2 linked regions of the Astyanax mexicanus genome follow. Each later gene encodes a partner of the first gene's protein in a complex. Links are inferred from orthologs where the notes say so. Each region holds a gene or a part of one and is shown on either strand. Other genes may lie near its edges.

Region 1 (7,603 bases):
TGTATCATTTTTAAGTGGTCTCTTATTTTACATCCAGAGCTATACACAGTGATATGTAACTATATATATAAAATCCAAACTAAATGTAAAAACTTAAACTTAAAATGTAAAATAAGCTTCCAAACAATTGACCATGTACACAATGCTGTGCTAAGTACCTGTGTATAGGTGTACTGTGTATGTGTTTCCTAGAAGTAGCAAAATAATGTTCCAATTCCTATTGTATTTCTTTATCTCAATTTGGGCGTTACCTGCGTGAAGTTAACAGATTTAACAATGTGCTTGTGTGCCAGGGTGAGGACCTCGTCTCCAGTGACTGCATCCCACACCTTTCTGTAAGACAAGATGACAAAATACACAACTTAGTTACCAGACACAGATGCCGCTCATGCAATGGCACTTGCAAGGGCATAACCCACTATAATAATATAAATATCTTCCAGTCCCTTCGTGGTCAATTTAGAAAAAAGCATAAATACGCCACAATTCACTTACGCTGAGAAATCGGCAGCAGCAGTAGCCGCCTTAGTGGCTTCTTTATTTAAGGTGGCCCCCCAAACAGCACCTTTGTGACCCAAGAACGTCCCAATCCAGTCCCCTGTGTCCCCCTGGCGCAACATCGGTTTGCCATCTGCAAAGACCAAACAAATAACGAATACTGGGAAAAGGCACAAGGTAAACAGACACAGAGATTACAGAATTCTCTTATCATTACAAGTTAACCCATAAGAGCCCAGACTAGTGGGATCATGACTGTAAATATTTTAAGGTTAAACTCATGATGAAACATAAATGACAACAAATTACTAACTATCATTAAGACGAATTTTAAATGGTTAAATGGTTGGAACAGACCATTAGAACCCAATACTACATTTTAAAAGAAGGAGCTATTTTATCTCCAGAACTTATCTCTAAACTTAGTACACATACATCCTGTAAATAGGAAAATGGTGATGAGATGAACGAATACAGATTCACACTCTGGCTGCCCTGTGCAGAAAGTGAAGGACAGTGTTGTAGTGCTGTAAAGATCTTTACACAACTTTTAAAGGGTATGTGACATATATACATCACCATTGGCTTTTTGGGGTTAAAAGATGTGTAATGTTCCTTACAGCAATCTGTCCTTTACATACTTTACAGGACAGTGTGTTAATGTGTTTTCTTAAAGCATGTTTCTTTAACATCTGATGATGACGCAAGTTTCTACAGAAAATCTAATCCTTAATGGTTGTTCGACAGTCATATTCCCACAGTCAGAAACAAACATTAATGAGCTGCTCACTGAATTATCTGATTCAATTTTTATTTTGGTACTTATGGGTTAAAGGGTCTGTGACACACATACACCACTATTCTTTTCACTTCTTTTGAATTAAAATTGTTCACTTGAACAATCCAAACCTACCTTTACAAGCACTTATTAGGAAATAACCATAAGGAGTGATTCCACTGAAGGCCAGATCCACAACAGGTCTGGTGTGGCCTGAGCAGGTGAGCGGAGTCTGCCTCATAGCCATTCTTTAACACAGATAAACCTGGAGAAATTAAAGAGTAGAACTGGTTAGTCACTAAAATACTAACTAACAAACAGCTAATGTTGCCTGATTCTGGACTGAGCTGGATAAGAGAAAACATTACCAAAGACTTACCAAAAACTTAGTTAAAACGCTAAAAACAATATCATACATATTTATTGAAAAACAGTGCCAAAAACAAACGTAATTTAGATAGATCTAAACAGTGGGCTGGCTAAACTAGCTAGCTAACTATCTAGGTAACACCTGCAGTATACAGTTGCCACAGCAGCTAAGCTAGGTTAATTTACTTAGCTAGCTAGCTAACTAACTAACCTAACACACACAGTGTAACTACTGTAGCCACAGTAGCGGAGCTAGTTAACTAGCTAGGTAACTCACGTAATATACAGTAGACTCATTAGCTAAGCTACTTAGCTAGCTAACTCATATAGCGTTAATAAACAAGAGACAAAGTAACGTAGCTAAGCTTGTTAGGTTTGCTAGTTAACACACACTCAGTATAACTTCATTAGCCACAGAAGCTAAGCTAGTTAACTAGCTAGATATCTAACCAACGTAATATACAGTTGACTGATTAGCTAAGCTAATTAGCTAGCCTAGAAAACCCACGTAATATACAGTAGACTCTTTAGCTAAGCTAGTTAGCTAGCTAACAAATATAGCGTTAATATACATTAGACACACTAACGTAGCTAAGCTAGTTAACTAGCTAACTTTGTTACCCTAGCTAACCCACGAAATATACAGTTGACTCATTAGCTAAGCTAATTAGCTAGCCTAGTTAACCCACACTAACATGCTTAAGCTAGATAGTTAGGTAGCTAACACACTCAGTACAACTCCTAAAGCAACAGTAACTAAGCTATGTAGCTAGTTGACAATTATAGCGTTAATATACAGTTAGCTAGCTATAGCGAACACCCTCAGCACACAGCAAAGACTGTAGGTAAGCTAAGCTAACACATTATATTAAGTATATAGTAGACACAGTAACGTAGATAAGCTAGCTAGTTAGCCTAGTTAACCCACGCAGTATACAGTAGTCACATTCGCTAAGCTAGCTAGCTAACACATATAACGCTAATGTACAGTAACGTTACACAGAATAACGTAGATAAGCTAGCTAGTTAACCTAGCTTACCCACGCAGTATACAGTAGCCACAGTAGTTAGCTACCATTAGCTAAGCTAGCTTAGCGCAGTTCAGCTAGCTCTGCTTACCGGTGTAGTGTATGAACCTACCTCGTACAGGCACAGCAAATGAACGGACACGCACACACACACACACACACACACAAGACCTCTAGCCCGGTAAATATATAAATATAGAGGGTTTGTTTCGAGGAGAACAGCGCTGTGGATGGAACTTTAACTCTTTAAAGAGCGACAGCGAGAAGGTGCGCACCCACTGAAAGTGCTGTGCCACCAGCAGCAGCTACAGCTACAGCCAGAGCCCAAAGCGCCGGAGGCCGCAGAGCTCTCACACACATAACGGCACCGACAGGAAACCGCGCTCCACACACACTCTCACACACACCCACACACACAACCGAGCTGAAACAACACACTCAGCACACAGACCCACTGATAATTAATCAATAAATTCACTCAACACATCGTATACTAATTTAATTGCATGTAAAACATAATATTTGCTTATTGAACAGTGTGAATATGTTACTCAGGCAGCGATTAGTGCTGCCTTTTGGTGCTCCTTCAGTACTGTCCTCCTCAACAGTTCCTATCCACGATTATTTTGGTGTTTGCTCCTATTTTGGAACATAAAATTATTATGAAAGCTCATTCCCGCCACCTAAAATTCACTTTTATATTAAGTAAACTGCTATCTCATTATTTGGAGATACTAAGTCATTATTTTAAAATAGCAAGTGATTATTTTGAGACACAAGTCATTATTCTGTGATAGTGTTTGCTTTTGGAAAATTATGAGATCTCAAAATAATGAGATAGTATCTCAAAATAATGACTTACTATCGATAGTGTCTCAAAATAGTGTCTTACTATCTCAATAATAAGAAAAAAGTTTTGTTTTTTTAGGTGTTGGGAATAGGCTTCCATATATTATAAATAAATAATAATAAAATTAATGTAAATCGTAATCGAAAATAACTCAAGCTTTTGACTCAAGTAAAAATACTGGTTTCAAAATTACTTTAAGTATAAAAGTACACAATTTATAAATTTAAGTTTTAAAAAAATAATTATTAAAGTAACCAGTGTAAATATATATTTTTTCTACAGGCTAATATCAATCTTATATTATATAGATTAGAATTAGTTTTTATCCTTTACTTTTTTCTGACTGAACTTAGTATGATAGAGCTGATGTTGGTGAATATTGCTTCCAGCTAACCCTGTTAACTATCAGTTTGACAGTTTGAGTCTGTGAGCGTGTCTTTCCACTTCTTTAATCTCGACTCTATGGAAGCCCATTTCCGCCACCTGAAGAAAAAAAAACGTCCTCAACTAAGTCATAATTATGAGTTAGAAAAGTCATAATTATGGGATAGTAAGTCATAATTATGAGATAGAAAATAATAATTATGAGATACTAAGTCATAATTATGAGATAGAAAGTCATAATTATGAGATGACTTTTTATCTCATAAATATGACTTACTATCTCATAATTATGACTTTTTTATCTCATAATTATGACTTTCTATCTCATAATTATGACTTAGTATCTCATAATTATGACTTACTATCTCATAATTATGACTTACTATCTCATAATTATGACTTACTATCCCATAATTATGACTTTTCTAACTCATAATTATGACTTAGTTGAGGACGTTTTTTTTTCTTCAGGTTTTGGAAATGGGCTTCCATACGACTCAATGCTAATTTCAGCAGCTATTTTAATCTATTTTAGTCCTTCCTTTACTGGTAACCAAACTGAAAAAAAAGTTTCGCAGCATAACCCATCGTCTCTTGAGTTTCAGTTCATAGTCAGATGTCCTGACAGTTTCCTTTAGAATTCTTTGATATCATTTAGACTTTATTGTTCCATCAATAAAGGAGAGCTGTTCTGGACACGATGCAGCAAAGCAGGGCCAAACCATAAAACTACCAACACCATGTTTCACAGATAAGATAAGTTTTTTTTACGCTGGACAGCGTTTTCCTTTCTCCAAACATCATGCTTTTATTTTGGTCTCAACCACTTACAAAACATTCTTCCATTCTTACTTTTTTTACAGCAGTGGCTTTCAGTGTTAATTTCTCCCAAATTCCAAATAAAAATATTGTCTTGTAGAGCATTCGCAGAAAATGAGAAATGGCTGAAATAACAAAAAAGATGCAGACCTCAAATAATGCAAAGAAAACAAGTTCATATTCATAAAGTTTTAAGAGTCAATATTTGGTGGAATAACTCCGGTTTTTAATTAAAGTTTTCATGAATCTTGGCATGTTTTCCTCCACCAGTCTTACACACTGCTTCAAGCAGTTCCGTTTGGTTTGATGGCTTGTGATCATCCATTTTCCTGATTATATTCCAGAGGTTTTCAATTTGGTAAAATTTTTCCAGAGCTGTATATTTAAATTATACATTTTTCATTTGAAAGCCAGACATTTTTTGGATCATTAAGTTCTTGACACATATTCAGTTGATGAGAGCTGAGAGATCTGGGGTCTTCTTCACTCTCTAACTGAATAAAAACTATATTTATAATCTGAATGAGCTCCTAATCCCAGAACTCTGACGCAGTTCAGTGACTCGTCAGATCCGGCATGCACCGCGCGCTGAGTAACTGCGGGGAGGGAGCAGTAGAGGCGGATCCGCGGCGCATTAAAAACTGACCCGCTTTCAAACCCGCACACCCTTCAGCTCCACACCCGCGCGCTCACCTCCGCAGCTCCGCCGCCTGTCCGCCAGCGACCCCCCGCCATGGAGACCAACTACATCCACGTACCGGAGGGCGCTCCCGCCGTGCCCAAACTCAACGTGAGCGTAGACGATCACGACTACAGACCGGGAGCGCTGCGGCTGATCGAGGAGCTCCGACCCCACTGGAAACCAGCGGAGGTCAAAATGAAGGTAACCGAGCGGAGTTTACGGGTTTAGATCTGTTCTGCGCGCGCCTCCCGTTCTTCTGGAGCCGCTCGCGGGGGCTGTACGGAATATAGGCAGGTTATATAAAGCAGGGGGCGCGTGCGGCCGGTCGTGCATCGCCTTACAAGTCTGCGATTGTAGCTGCGTCACCGACTAGTAAATCCCGTACCCGATACAAAGTAACAAACCCCGGGCCGTGCACGATACAAAGTAACAAACTAAGTAACAATGTAACAACCCATCTGCCTATAGATACATATAGCTACACACCCTTCAGGTCATTCTGCAGTTTCGAACCCCTTTTTAAACGTGTAACAAACGGTGTAATACTGAGAATTTTAGCTTCCTATAAACCGGTAGATTCTAAAATAAACATGCTATAACCCGCCTTCACTCTATCTTTAGATTTTAATCATATTTTCTTCAGAATTTGACAGATAGACCACACAGAGTAGCTATTAAAAGTATATACAGTCGTGTCTTATTATTCATTCAATGATAACATACACTCCAGAAGCTCTGTGTCATAAAAAATAATTTAGGTTCTGTTCAGGTAAAAGTGCGTCATTATTAAGGAATAAACCACTATCAGCACCACTGGGTCAAAAACGGGACATAACATTTTAGTGTCCCCACTTGATAGATGTTATGCCCTGTCATAATAACAGGTTTTTGACCTACAGTTCAAGTTGCAGTTTCACACCCCCTTTTTTAAACGTGTAACAACAGTGTAGCACTGGGGATTTTATCTACCTGCAGATGCGTAGATCCTAAAAAAAATGTTAATAACCAGCCTTCAAGGTATCTTTAACTTTTAATCATATTTTCTTCAGATTCTGTCAGATAAATCACACAAAGTAGCTATTAAAAGTATATACAGTCATGTATATATTATTATTCATTCAATGATAACACACACTCCAGAAGCTCTGTGTCATAAAAAAGGAATTTAGGTTCTGTTCAGGTAAAAGTGCGTCATTATTAAGGAATAAACCAGTTTAAGAAGCCTCTAAAAGATACCACACAAATGTTTTACACATAAGAGACATTATTAGCTAGACTTGTAGTACATACACTCAGAAACTGCATTCATTGTAAAGAGTTTTACCCCCAAAATATCACTATCACTATCAGCAACACTGGGTCAAAAACGGGGCAGCACTGAATAAATGTTATGCCCTGTCATGATATCAGGTTTTTGACCTGTATACAGGTCATGCTGCAGTTTCAACCCCCCTTTTTAAATGTGTAACAACAGTGTAACACTGGAGATTTTATCTGCAGACACATAGATTCTAAAATAAACATGCTATAACCTTCCTTCAACGTATCTTTAGATTTCCATCATATTTGCTTCAGATTTTGTCAGATAAACCACACAGAGTAGCTATTAAACGTATATACAGTTGAGTACGAGTTCCTTCTAGAAGTTTCTTCTTATTCATTCAATGATTACATTCATTCCAGAAGCTCTGTTCCCTATAAAATAAATAAATTAGAACATAAAGAAAGTCATTTAGGTTTTATTCAGGTTCTGTTTAGGTGAAAGAGCTACTTTATTATAGAATAAAGCATTTAACAAGCCTCTAAAGGATACCACACAAATGTTTTACACATAAGAGACATTATTAGCTACGTCTGTAATACATGCAGGGTTTTATGATGCAAAAATATATTATTTTCCCCCCAAAAAAATCACTATCACAATTGTCACCAGTGGGTCAAAGACAGGACGTAACTTTTTAGTGTCTCCACTTGATAAATGTTATGGCCTACAGGTCATCCTGCAGTTTTACACCCGCTTTTAAACATGTAATAAACAGTGTAACACTGGGGATTTTACATGTTATAATCTGCTTTCAGTATCTTTAACTTTTAATCATATTTGCTTCAGATTTTGTCATATAAATCACACAGAGGAGCTATTAAAAGTATATACAGTTGAGTACAAGTTCCTTCTAGAAGTGTCTAATTATTCA
Region 2 (7,564 bases), on another chromosome or scaffold:
AACTAGTGAGTGTGTTCTGGTGGGGCTTTAGAGGGTGGGGCCAGGGTGGTTTTATGCATACACATGTTTGTTTTTTATATATTGTACATTTAATAGTTTTTGGTGTTTCTGGTGTTTAACAGCTCTCTGAATGACTGACAGGGTTCATTTCTACAGCGTATTGATTAAAGAACTCTCAGGATTGGTACAGAACCCTACTGATCAGTTCTGCTGATCTGCTGCTCACCATCACAACATTATCATCCAGAAACTGAGCTTTCCAGTGCTGCCGGTGTTTGGCCACACTCTGAAACACAAACAGAGAGAGGAGTAACTTTACTTCAGTCATTTAAAGAGAAGAGATATACAGCAACGATTACTGCACCAGTACTGTAGGTCTGTTACAATAATTACAGAATCGATTTATCATACAATATGTGGACACAAACTGAATCATTTTTTGTTTGCTGAAATCATTTTATATATTTTTTGTTCCTTTAGGCAGGAAGATCTTATAAACATGAAGGAGTCTATAAGTTGACTTTGTTCAAAAACAGTGTTTTTATTTTCTTTTGTTTATGTTTTTACAGTTTAGTGTTCTTTAAAACTGATAATTGCAGTATTATGCCATTATATTATAATTATATCAGAGGCATAAAATCACAATAATATTGTTTACTGCAATCATTTCTGGGACACTATATAATCCAAGCAAAAACAGATATTGTGGCAGGTCTACATCTACTCTTTTTTTACATAATAAAAGTCTTCAAAATTGTAAAAAGTAAACCTTGGATTTTGCTTCTCCATCAGGACAGAAGAACATCTATATAACATTTTATTTAACATGTATGTTAAACAAAATGTTACAGAACATTTTTCTACACATTTCAGACAGTTTCTATTTATTTACTAAATTTAACACACTGATAAAAATGTTTATTACAAATACAAAAAATGTTTATTGTACCATTATTATGCTCAGTGATTGTTTTACTCAGATAAGTAATAAAAAGTGTTTTACCTGTCTGACTTCAGAGAAGCTGCTGACCTGCTGCTGCTGCCACTTCAGGCTGGGGGAGAATCCGTGAGGAGCCGTCCGACAGCCACTGAGCTAAACACACACACACACACACACACGTTTAGCATCTCACACACACCATTATATCACACACTCACACACACTTATCATTATATCTTACACAAACACACTTACAGAAACGTTCACTGACTGGTTCTTCCTCAGCTTCTTGGGATCAATCTGAGCTACAACAACATCCGGACACAGAGAAGCTTCACGCCTGTGATACACACACACACACACACACACACACACACACACACACACACATTCATACAACTCAGACTAGTTCTGTGAGGCTGCATCCTAAATCACTCTATGCTCCCTACATAGGGCACTTCAACTAGCCCAGGACAGTGCACTATCCAGGCCAGGGTACGAGGTATAAAGACTTTAGGCAGCTAGTCAGAAGTCAGAATGCCAGATTGCCAGTAGTCAGAATGCCAACTAGTCAGAATGCCAACTAGTCAGAATGCCAGCTAGTCAGTAGTCAGAATGCCAACTAGTCAGAATGCCAGCTAGTCAGTAGTCAGAATGCCAGCTAGTCAGTAGTCAGAATGCCAACTAGTCAGAATGCCAGCTAGTCAGTAGTCAGAATGCCAGCTAGTCAGTATTCAGAATGCCAGCTAGTCAGTAGTCAGAATGCCAGATTGCCAGTAGTCAGAATGCCAACTAGTCAGAATGCCAGCTAGTCAGTAGTCAGAATGCCAACTAGTCAGAATGCCAGCTAGTCAGTAGTCAGAATGCCAACTAGTCAGAATGCCAGCTAGTCAGTAGTCAGAATGCCAACTAGTCAGAATGCCAGCTAGTCAGTAGTCAGAATGCCAACTAGTCAGAATGCCAGCTAGTCAGTAGTCAGAATGCCAGCTAGTCAGTAGTCAGAATGCCAGCTAGTCAGTAGTCAGAATGCCAGCTAGTCAGTAGTCAGAATGCCAGCTAGTCAGAATGCCAGCTAGTCAGAATGCCAGCTAGTCAGTAGTCAGAATGCCATCTAGTCAGTAGTCATAATGCCAGCTAGTCAATAGTCAGAATGCCAGCTAGTCAGTAGTCAGAATGCCAGATTGTCAGTAGTGAGTTGCCAGAATGCCAGACAGTAGTCAGAATCACATGCTAGCTAGTCAGTAATCAGAATGGCAGCTAGTCAGAAGTCAGTAGTCTGAATGGTAGCTAGTCAGTAGTCAGTAGTGAGCATAACAGCTAGTCAGTAGTCACAATGCCAGAAAGAATGTAGTCAGTAGTCAGAATGCCAGCTAATCAGTAGTCAGTAATCAGTAGTCGGAGTCTATTAAGTAGTCAGTAGTTAGGAATACCAGCCCACTTAGCACTTAGCTCTTGGTCAGAATCAACCAGTGCTTAATAGTTAGAATGCCAGCCAGTCAGTTCTCAGTAGTTACAGTGCCAGCCAATCAGCACTCGGCAGCCAGATTTTCATTTTAGCAGCCAATCAGTAGCACTCAGTCCATAAAATGATGACATTAAAATATACATTATTTTAATTTCTCCGCTGTTTTTTTAGTAGAGATATAAATATCCTTTAACTAGTGTTTATAGTTTTCTGTGCTTACACAACTGTGTGTGTGTCTGTGTGTGTGTGTGTCTGTGTGTGTGTGTTTGTGTGTGTGTGTGTGTGTGTGTGTCTGTGTGTGTGTGTGTGTGTGTCTGTGTGTGTGTGTGTGTGTGTCTGTGTGTGTGTGTGTTTGTGTGTGTTTGTGTGTGTGTATAAGAGTGTGTGTGCTAAAAGCTCGTACTGCACGTGTCTCAGGTACTCCTGCGGGTTCCTCGGCGGCTCCTTTAAAGTGTATCCTTCCTCCTCCTCCTGCGCGCGCGGCTCCACCGGCAGCAGTCTGGGCATCAGCTCCTCCATCCCTGTCCTCTATTCACCTGTTCTACACACACACTCACCTGCTCTCAACACACACAGCTCTCCCGCTACTGTTTACCTCACACTGTTCTTCTCCGCCTGCAGCTCACACACACACACCACCACTACCTCCCCCTGCAGGACACACCGCGCTACTGCAGCACAGCTCATATACACACATCACTAAGTAGCTCCTCTTGTTTAGATGATCAGTTTTGAACATCTCTGCTGGATTTTCTCAGTTAGTTTTATGAGGTAGAGTCACCTGGAATTCAGTCTTTCAGTTAACAGCTGTGCTGAACTCATCAAGAGTTAATTACATTCAATTCAATTTTATTTATATAGCGCTTTTTACAACAAATGTTGTCACAAAGCTGCTTTACAGGAAAAACAGGTCCACGCCTCTTATGAGCAGCACCACAGAGATGCTGATTTTATGGTGACACAGTGGCAAGGAAAAACTCCCTTTAAGAGGAAGAAACCTTGGAAGGAACCAAGACTCAGTCCGAGGAACCCATCCTACTCGGGTTGACCCGCTCAGTACAAACAAACAACAAACAACAAACAGAACAAAACAGTACAGAGAATTAATGTGAACTATGGCTAATATAACAGGTACTAATTTATGAATATAAGAATGTGATGGGCACAAACTATAGAGCTATGGCTAATACAGAAACAGATACTGAGTGTGTTAATGGTAATCAGTGCAGGGCTGCAGAGCCGGAGAACAACACAGCGGGCAGTGGAGAGCCAGGCTGGGAACATCAGGAACAGCATCTCCATACATGTAAAAGAGATAGATAGAGAAAACAGAAAGGAAAGAAAGAGAAACAAAAAGCAAGAGTTAGAAGGGTTGTGTAATAATTCTGATTTTTGAGTAGAAGGACAGGGCTGAAAAAGGGAAGAAAAAGGGGTTAGAATGGTTTTATAAAACTCTGCTGGAGTGGGATGGGCACTGGTAGCAGCAGCTCAGGACATGGGGAGAGAAAGAGAAAGCAGATGATTAGGACAGGGTTTATATTTGCTGGATAAGCTGTAAGAGGAAGAAAATTGTAATGAGACATTACTCAAAAGCTTGAGCAAATAGAAATGTTTTGAGTCTAGATTTAAAGATTGAGAGTGTGTCTGAGTCCCGTATATTAATAGGGAGGCTATTTCAAAGTTGGGGAGCTTTATAAAAGAACGCTCTTCCTCCTGCATAGTTTTTTCTAATACGCGGGACTAATAACAGGCCAGCGTCTTGGGAGCGGAGTGAACGCGGCGGATTGTAAGGAGTAAGGAGTTCCTGTAGATAATGCGGGGCCAGACCATTGAGGGATTTATACGTCAGGAGAAGTATTTTATAATCTATACGAAATTTAACAAGTAGCCAATGTAGGGATGAAAGAATAGGTGTAATATGATCGAACTTTCTAGCTCTGGTAAGCACTCGGCTGCATTCTGAACTAGCTGGAGTTTATGGTGTAAACGCGTTGCAGTAGTCCAGCCTGGAGGTTATGAATGCATGTACCAGCTTCTCAGCATCTTCCAGAGAGAGTATACTGCGGATTTTAGCTATATTTCTTAAATGGAAGAATGCAGTTTTGACTATGCTACATATGTGAGCATCAAACGAAAGAATTGGGTCAAAGATGACCCCAAGGTTTCTCACAGTTTTACCAGGTATAATTAAGTGACCGTCTACATCTACAGTATTAACATTTATGTTTTTATCAATATTAGGACCTAATAGAATCAGTATTAAGTAAGAGAAAGTTGTGTGTCATCCAATTTTTAATCTCTTTAATACAGTCTGTTATTTGATTAAGACAGAGGTCCTCATTGTAAAGTTGCGTGTCATCAGCATAGCAGTGAAAGTTAATACCATGCCTACGAATGATTTTACCCAGCGGTAACATATAAAGAGTAAAGAGTAATGGGCCCAGTATTGATCCTTGACGGACACCATATTTTACTCTAGACTCATAAGAGCATTCGTTATTTAAATAAACACACTGGAATTGATCTCTCAGATAAGATCTGAACCAGGTGAGGGCTGATCCTTTAATTCCTATAAGATTTTCTAACCTATCAAGCAGAATAGCGTGATCTACGGTGTCAAAGGCAGCACTAAGATCTAGCAGTACAAGGATGGCAGTACTGCCCCTATCAAGAGCTGAAAGTAAATCATTAGTTACTCTAAGTAGAGCTGTTTCAGTACTATGGTTTTGTCTAAATCCAGATTGAAAAACCTCATGCATACTATTACTTTGTAGATACAAGCGTAGCTGCTTAAACAAACATTTTTCTAGGATTTTGGCTACAAAGGAAGATTAGACATTGGTCTATAATTAGCAAGCTCGCGGGGGTCCAGATTTGGCTTTTTGATAATGGGCTTAATGACCGCCAGTTTAAGAGAATTGGGTACGTAGCCCATGCTAAGGGATGAATTGACTATTTCTAGTAATGGTTTACCCACCTTTGGCAGTGCCTGTTTAAGTCATTGTGTGGGTACTGGATCTTATATACATGATGAATTTCTTGTCTCTTAATGTGTTTGAGAGCATTAGTTGTAAAGTAGTAAAGAGGTAGAGTTGGTATGCAGTAGATAGCTCTATTTGAGTAATGTTCTAATACAGATTATTAGAAACAACAACTACTCAACTAAGTAAAGTGATAGAACTGGCACTCATCCAGACTGCCCCAGGAAAGCGAGAGTTTCCTCTGTTGTAGTTAAAGCTCACCTTCCGTCGTTTTTTCTTTCATTTTAAAATGTCTAGTTGTGGTCTTTAGTATGAATGAATGACATGTGAGCCGTTTTTGTAAAAAAAAAGTGCTCAGGTGTCTCTGTATAGCTCTTTTTTAATGGACTGTTTTAGGGGTGTGTCCAAAATGACCGGATTCCAGCTTTGCTCATGAATATTCATACATGCAAACAGCATGCAAATATCTCTCCTCTGATTGGCTAGGAGCACTGCGACGCCCCTCCACCGCTCTGCCGCTCACTGCCTCCCACCTCCTAACTGATGAGCGGTGATGTTGCGTCGCTTCAGCTCCGCCTCTGGGAGTTTCTCGAGCCAAGGTGGGCTGGTCTGTGAGTTTCTGCCTACGTAGGCAGAAAGATAATTCAAAATTCACCCGTTTTTCGGAGGGGGGGAGGGGGGATTTCTTTGCTTAGCTCCTGCAGACAATGGGGGCTGCAAAACAGTTTAATGTGCAGGTGTACACATTCAACTCGGAGAGACCTACTGTATTCCACAAAAAACAAGAAAAATCGGATTTTCGCGGAAGGTGAGCTTTAACACACTGACCATATAAGAGCACTTTGTGTGTGTGAAGTAGATAAAAAGGATAATCTATAAAAAGGAGGTGGCCACGTTCCAATATATCTTATATTAATATTACTGACGGTAGCCCAGCTATATATATATATATATATATATATATATATATATATATATATATATATATATATATATATATATATATATATATATTATCCCCCCTCTACTCCATCCATTGGTAGAAAGTGACCACCATGGGACCACTGCTGACCAGATGTCATTTTACTAGTGAAGTTAAGTATTGCAGAGCTCATCAAAGCAATGACAAGATTTTCCCCCACAAGCTCCTGATTTTCTCCAGTGTTTCACGCAGAAATAGCTCTCCACCGCCAGCCAATCCCAGCGCAGAGGGCGGGATGTGCCGGAATACAGGTGGGAAAAATGAGTGCAGTCTTGTCTTCATTATAGTTAAGTATTGCAGAGCTCATCACAGCAGTGACATCAATATGATAGTGGCATGTTAGTGAAGCCATCCAGACACATCTAGGACTAGTCAAATGTGCAGGCGCCTTATTTGGCATTGCATTAGTTATTTTCAATGATTTTATTTAATCTTGCTATTTGATGAACTACAGCGAGGACAGTGATTTTTTAGGTTTCCTGGCCAGTGATGTTAATACATACAGTTCACACTGTCAGACACTAATTACACTATCTTAAATCCTGAGATTGATGGTAATAGCACCTTCTTTGACTCTCCTGATAGCAGTGACTGCACACTAAGAAAAGTAAGTACAGATTTGTACTTAAAAGAGTATAAAGCTTGTCGCTGGGGCTGTACCTTATATCGAGGTACAAAAAAGTACCTTTCAGTGAAAGTCCTTTTTTGTACCCATGTTTTTTGTGCCAGTAAAGATTATAAAGATTATGATCATTTTCATCAACTAAATATGGCTCAAAAACTTGATGATCCAAAATTGTCTGGCTTTCAAATGAGAAATGTGCAATTTAAATATATATTGTTTATTAGTACAGTGATACAGAATACTGAATGTACCTTTTGGCTGCAGGTTAAATGGTACAAATTTGTACTTATTGCTGTTAGAAATGACTTTGTACTTTAGAGGGAACAAATCTGACCCTGTAAAGACCAATATTGTACCTTTGAGTACAAAAAAGTACTCATATCGTACCTGTGTTTTTTAGAGTGTGCCATATTTGTAAAAATGAAGACAAAGATGACCTCCATTATGAAAATGAGCTCTGTATCGGACACGGCTAACAATATTTTGCTATTTTAAGCCTAAAACAGAATCTGATCTACCCAAGATCAGTACTTTTGCAGGAAAGGCAGTTTTTGTCTCTCTGAATTAGATA

The links.
Region 2: serine-threonine kinase receptor-associated protein (region 1) and gemin2 share a complex: the UniProt entries of both Homo sapiens proteins name them as parts of the SMN-Sm complex. The link is inferred for Astyanax mexicanus from reciprocal best matches to the Homo sapiens genes STRAP and GEMIN2.

The regions. Positions count from the first base shown.
Region 1 is NC_064409.1:2,001,708-2,009,310, forward strand, and holds the start of serine-threonine kinase receptor-associated protein, read right to left. Parts: upstream 3,019-7,603; 5' UTR 2,786-3,018; intron 1,542-2,785; 5' UTR 1,524-1,541; coding exon 1,412-1,523; intron 632-1,411; coding exon 496-631; intron 334-495; coding exon 252-333; intron 1-251. Other genes in the region: etnk1 (ethanolamine kinase 1), read left to right, coding at 5,460-5,609. UniProt on the Homo sapiens protein: The SMN complex catalyzes the assembly of small nuclear ribonucleoproteins (snRNPs), the building blocks of the spliceosome, and thereby plays an important role in the splicing of cellular pre-mRNAs.
Region 2 is NC_064421.1:1,228,003-1,235,566, reverse strand, and holds the start of gemin2 (gem-associated protein 2), read right to left. Parts: upstream 3,021-7,564; 5' UTR 2,925-3,020; coding exon 2,809-2,924; intron 1,281-2,808; coding exon 1,196-1,280; intron 1,094-1,195; coding exon 1,004-1,093; intron 287-1,003; coding exon 227-286; intron 1-226. UniProt on the Homo sapiens protein: The SMN complex catalyzes the assembly of small nuclear ribonucleoproteins (snRNPs), the building blocks of the spliceosome, and thereby plays an important role in the splicing of cellular pre-mRNAs.